2 linked regions of the Saccharomyces cerevisiae S288C genome follow. Changing the gene in region 2 together with the main gene of any one other region gives a genetic interaction. Each region holds a gene or a part of one and is shown on either strand. Other genes may lie near its edges.

The links. Genes that interact genetically often act in the same process or in processes that back each other up.
Region 1: mutations in MCP1 (region 2) and ICS2 together harm fitness more than expected from each alone (negative genetic interaction), as found in Saccharomyces cerevisiae (one large-scale study listed by BioGRID).

The regions. Positions count from the first base shown.
Region 1 is NC_001134.8:553,043-556,062, forward strand, and holds ICS2 (Ics2p), read right to left. Parts: upstream 1,269-3,020; coding exon 501-1,268; downstream 1-500. Other genes in the region: SLI15 (Sli15p), read right to left, coding at 1-158.
Region 2 is NC_001147.6:766,348-769,746, forward strand, and holds MCP1 (Mcp1p), read right to left. Parts: upstream 1,431-3,399; coding exon 522-1,430; downstream 1-521. Other genes in the region: HER1 (Her1p), read left to right, coding at 1-218; WTM2 (transcriptional modulator), read left to right, coding at 2,062-3,399. UniProt on the Saccharomyces cerevisiae protein: Recruits the lipid transfer protein Vps13 to mitochondria thereby promoting vacuole-mitochondria contacts. Involved in mitochondrial lipid homeostasis.

The DNA of each region.
Region 1 (3,020 bases), on a different chromosome or scaffold from region 2:
TTTCTTAACCATTCACTACTTTCGTACAATCGTTGATTTATTTCTGAATGTGCATCTGTTGTTAGATTATTTAGATCATCGAGGGTTTCTATGATTGAACGGGTAGAGCCTGGCTTCCTTTGAGTTTTCTTCCTAGCTGCTTTGATTGCCCAGTCCATTGTTTAAATCTTCGGGCTCTTTCAAAGTCCGTCAGTTGAGGAGATACTTTGAAACGTTTTGTTTGTATCATTGGCAATACTTGAAACGAGTTTTTGTTTGTTTTCTTTTTTTAGTTAATTCGCGAAATTTAAAATATGAAGATCGGTTTCAGAACAGAATGGATCAGGCTTTTCCGCGTATAAGAAATAATAACACTGACATAACGCTATAACGAAACAGCGTAACAAAATACTCTTTACATGGTTTATTTTTATATATTCATTTAACATTATCAAAACTAACATTAAGTCCTTTATTTATCAAAACAAACGAAAAAAAAAAATGCGAGACAAATGATCCAGTCATTTATTGTCAATATCTAAGTCAATTAGTGGTTGCAATATGTCTCCAGTTTCCACTTTATGAGCAAAAATTTTGCCCTCAATATTTATCTGATTTTTTTCAGCGAATTCTTTCAAACTCCCGAATCTACCGCTTGCGTTTCTTCTTAATTGTTCATTGGTATTCATGATTGTGTTTTTCGGGGACATTTGGTGGGTATATGAAGTATCCGGTGAAGAATGATATTCTTTGTCCAAGAAAGAACTTGCCAATGAAGTTTTTCTTGAATTGACGCCTATGCTTGAATTAGAATCGTACCCGTCAATGAAATTTGGCTTACAAGACCTGCTGAATGAGATTGCATGACTTTTTCTGTGGTAACTTTTCCTTCGCCCTGAAGGCTTTGTAAGTTCGTGTGATAATGAACGTGAATGCGAATGTGATGATAATTCATTACTTTCTACCCTTAAAGGTGATACCGCATTAGGCTTTCTTGGACATATGGAGGAATTTCTCCTCGTTTTCACACCATCCTTGTCTCCAGGGAAAGAGTAGGTCTTCAGCTTGTTGAACAGAGCTTCGCCTTGAGACTCTTCAAAATAAAAGCTCTTTTCGTACTCATGGGGTTGTTTGCTGCTATCGAACTGAGATTCTGTTGAAGAGAGAGAGCTGAAACGTCCATAGAGTGGGCTGCCAAGTGATTTAATGGATGTACTAGATTGACTGCCCGTAGTAGGAAAACTAAATGTGCTTATTCTTTCTCTTTCTTTTTGCTCAAATTTGCCCATATCTTGCTGGAAAGGGAAACTTCAGTGAAGTAATAACGAAGGTGGTGTAGAGTATAAATTTTTATTAAGTATGCGCTTTGACGTTCACATATTTGTAAAAGATTTATTTGAGAAGATAGAATGGGTCTCATTTATTTATACTTAAATGCTTCTTTGGATGTCAAGCTTTCTTGATGCCGGACTTGCAGTCGAAGGGCTCTTTCCCAACAGATATGTAACCAAATGCGTCGAATAGAAAAAGAAAGTCTTCCAAGGAAAGTTTATTACGAGGGGTTTTGTGCATTAACGTGGCATATAATTAGGTATAAACTCAAGGTTGGCTTAAGATTAGCGAAACAAAAGTATAAACGACCCAAAATTGGAGTGGATGTGTTCTTTAACACATAAACTGTCGTACAAAAAAAAAAGAAACAAAGAGCAGTTGAAAGAACATCAAGATCATAAGGACCCCCATATCGTGATAATCATTGATGACCAAATCGTGAACTCCCTGCGCCTATGCCGTGCCATAGCAAATAAAGTACTGGGCTGGATTGTTAATGACTTGCATATTAACGACAGGTAAACGGTACCCTATTTTTCTTTTTTACGTGCTACGGACGAAAAGTGAGGGTGATTAACGCTTCAAATAAGAAACGACGGCTAGCAGGGTCTAGATGCGTGAGATGAGATAAGGAAAAGAGCTCTGTGTCCCAGGTAATAATCCCTGGAGAGATATAATCTTCCCTACAACTTGATTGCATATTAACGCTCCCAAGTTGTGGCCATTGAAGAGCTCTACAGCAATGTCCCGACGAACGGAAATAACCCTCTTTTTCATGATATTTTCGGAGTTATCTCCACTGTCAACAACTATTCTCGAATATAACAGAATGAAAGGGATCACGTACGCTTGTTATATTGCTGTCGTTCTCCGTTCGCAATCCCATTATATGCGAGGGGCAAAAGAAGAGACGGCCGGTAACTCATTTTTTGGTGTGTGAGAATTGCGGAAGCTTCGTTCTCCCACCTTTTTTCGCTGTGTTTTTCTTGTCCTCAGCACCGGCTGGTCAAGCCGGTGCTGAACGGCCGGAGAGAAATATAAACGGATGAAAACGTGTTAATAATTGCATCAGTAGTAGGTGGCGGGGTTGTCTCATTTTTGTTATGGCGTAAGGTGAAAAATTGTAAAGGATTGGTTCGGTTGGGTTGGCGACAATTAATTATGGGATAAAAAATTGCTTAATCTTTATTGGAGCAATTACCTGCATAGGCACTCATAGGCCACAAGGGTTTGATGGCGGAAGGATGTTATACCTACGATACTACCATACATGTGATATGTCACTTTCTAGTCCGAAGCGTGGAACATATTATCTTGTTTGACGTTGTGGGTGTTAACCGTAATTGTCTGGGTACGCCGAAGGCACGGAGACCATGTTAAAATATGTTTCTCTTTTTTGCTCATTTTTTTCTATTTTTTGCTGCGCATTGCCCGAAGCTTTTCTTAGTGGTAGTCTGCTCTCGCGCTCTTTGTTACACTCGCAAAATTTTTTTGCTGGGCAAAATAAAGCACTCTCCGGCCATTACTGGCTGTCGTCCGCCAGGATTTTCATTAACTTGCAGAAGTAAACAAACAAAACACAATTATGACACCGTGGAAGTTTCCTAAATGGTAACAAAAAGCTTAATTGAAAGAAAGAATTTCCTTCAACTTCGGTTTCCTGGTTCCGCTATTTCTCGCTTGTTTCTTCTATTGGACTTAGGATGTCT
Region 2 (3,399 bases):
CTGTAGATGATCTGATTAAAAATGTTACCTCTGAAAAGGTTGGATTGGAATCATTATATGGAGATGAATTGAACTCTAGAAGCCCGAGTAATGACAGTTTACAAGAATCACAACAAAAGGCGCCTTTGCAGAGGCCCCTTGTTGAAGATGAAACAGTGACAAAAAAATATGACAAACTATTGAACGATCTGTCTAATGTTCGTCACAGTAAAACCTAAATTATTTTATGCTTCTGTCTTTCCTTTCTCTTTCGATTATTAGAAGGTGCATCTTTGTATAAATATCCCATCAATAATGTATTCTTAGGAATCTATATATGTATGTACGTTTTATGTGTATATGTATTTTACGTTTTTTCATAATCATATACTTTCTGCCGAAATTTTTTGCCTTCATTATGCACACTAATGTTATTAATCAGATAAAAATACAGAAATTTAAAATAAATACTGAGAATAATATAATTAACTGTTCGAGAATTGTCGCAAATTAATAGCTTCACACTACTCCCACAAGGATTCCTAATTCACGTGCAACAGCAACCGGATCTTTTTGAAAATGCTTTCGAATTGGTTGGGACCCAGTTTCGTAGAATCCTCTTTCATCAATCTAATCAGAGAAACGAACCCAACGAGTGTTAATAGATTGATAGCTGTGGACCATTTTTTCCTGCTAGTCATTTTTCTAACACCGAAATAACGGCAGAGCCCCGAACCTATATGATATACACCTGACTCGAGGAGAATAGCTAACGGCACCAGGCCTCCAAGCCATTTCCACCACCTGTTCTTGCTAGATAGTAATTGCTTTATAGAGGCGAAATCCACCTCAGTAGAGATGGAATTCGGCACCCATTTCATAATTAATAAGTGGTATATCAGGACGGGAACAAGGATGTATCCACTAATCACTTGTGGAGGAATGCGGAAGGTCTTATACAATCCAAATAAATAGCCAGAAATTCCACCAGTTAAACCAATCGAATCTTGGGATAGATCTTGTTCGGCCGATATCTTTAAATGTCGATGTCTATTTCTTCTTGGCTTGTTCCAGTTGTTCACGATTCGGAGCAAGACACCAGCAGAAACATGAAGAGTAATACCCGCAACTAACAGCTTGGTAGTTATGGACGGTAAAATCTCTCTCACCATCATTAAAACGTCGTCAGGAGCAGAATCAGGTGATACTGCCGGCGTGATTAATGTATTTGCTGCATGTAGTGGGAAATACAATGCCATGGGCAGTACCGAAATCTTTTGACAGTTCCAAAGGAATCTCCGACATGAACTCCTGGAAAAAGGATACGGAATGCCAAATATTTTTTTCCTCTTATCAGGATTACCATCTCCTTCGGGGCTATGTGCATTAACATCATGAGGGAGACTAGCAGGGTCTACTGGTTCTGGAGGCACTTCATGCAACTTTATCATCGTAATAAACAAAACTCTGGGCTAACTGGTATATGCCCTAGTAATTCGGGACCTGTTAGGAGCAATACAATCTACACAAGGTTTTCCTTACTTATTTTCCAATTGACGACCAACTTGCCTCACACAATTACAGAGCACGTATTCGCTCTCTAGCCACTCTTTTCAAAACAAATTTTAGTTGTGGACCTGGTTAGGATACAATCAGCGATGTCGGAAGACTGATGTAGTAGAATTGACTGGAACGCTTCTTCTATAGTCTACACGGAAGCTATACTCCCTTGAATAGATGGTAGATGTTCCGCATAAGGTTTGTCCTTTTGGTTTTTTAGCCCCGTTCGGGGTTCGAACTGCTAAGTCATATTCCGCACATATGCGTCCGCAGACTCTCATTGGATCATTCTTACCCATTCGGGTCATAATGCAAGCCTTTACCATTTATGGCACTTTGATTTCCCTTTCCATCTCACATCTTCAATTCTATTGTTTTTGAAAAAAAAAAAAAATAAAAAAAAAAAAGATTAAAGGCAATTAGTTAGCTGACGTATGGAACATCTCTGCTGTACAGCTACATTTACTTATAAGACAAGGAGCAATTAGTAGCGACGGGAGCAAGAACTAAAAAGGATAGAGGATGGCGAAAAGCAAATCCAGTCAGGGTGCGAGTGGAGCACGCCGTAAACCGGCACCTTCTTTATACCAACACATTTCTAGCTTTAAACCACAATTCAGCACAAGAGTCGACGATGTTTTACATTTTAGCAAGACACTGACATGGAGAAGTGAGATTATTCCAGACAAATCCAAGGGCACCTTGACGACTAGTCTTTTATATTCTCAAGGTAGTGATATTTACGAAATAGACACTACTTTACCATTAAAGACATTCTATGACGACGACGACGACGACGACAACGACGACGACGACGAAGAAGGTAACGGCAAGACGAAGTCTGCAGCCACCCCAAATCCAGAGTATGGTGATGCTTTCCAAGATGTTGAGGGGAAACCATTGCGCCCAAAGTGGATTTACCAGGGCGAAACAGTGGCAAAAATGCAATACTTGGAAAGCTCAGACGACAGTACGGCGATCGCGATGTCCAAGAACGGCTCTTTGGCATGGTTCAGAGATGAGATCAAGGTTCCCGTTCATATCGTACAGGAAATGATGGGCCCTGCTACTAGATACTCTAGTATTCACTCTCTAACCAGACCAGGTTCATTAGCAGTGTCAGATTTTGATGTGTCGACAAATATGGATACGGTAGTAAAGTCACAAAGTAACGGCTACGAGGAGGACAGCATCTTGAAAATCATCGACAACTCCGATAGACCGGGAGATATATTACGTACAGTGCACGTTCCAGGGACCAACGTGGCTCACTCAGTTAGATTTTTTAACAACCATTTATTTGCATCTTGTTCAGATGACAACATTTTAAGATTCTGGGACACAAGAACAGCGGACAAACCGCTTTGGACGCTAAGCGAACCGAAAAATGGACGACTAACGTCCTTCGATTCCTCTCAAGTTACTGAAAACCTATTTGTCACTGGGTTCAGCACGGGTGTCATCAAGCTATGGGATGCGCGTGCTGTGCAACTGGCTACTACTGACCTCACACATAGGCAGAACGGCGAGGAACCGATCCAAAACGAAATAGCCAAGTTGTTCCATTCTGGCGGCGATTCCGTTGTCGATATCCTGTTCTCACAAACCTCTGCAACAGAATTTGTTACGGTTGGAGGAACGGGTAATGTCTACCACTGGGACATGGAGTACTCTTTTTCAAGAAACGACGATGACAACGAAGACGAAGTTCGAGTGGCTGCTCCGGAGGAACTTCAGGGTCAATGTTTAAAATTTTTCCACACAGGTGGCACAAGAAGATCGAGCAACCAATTCGGGAAGAGGAACACTGTGGCGCTACACCCCGTAATCAATGATTTTGTTGGCACTGTTGATTCAGAT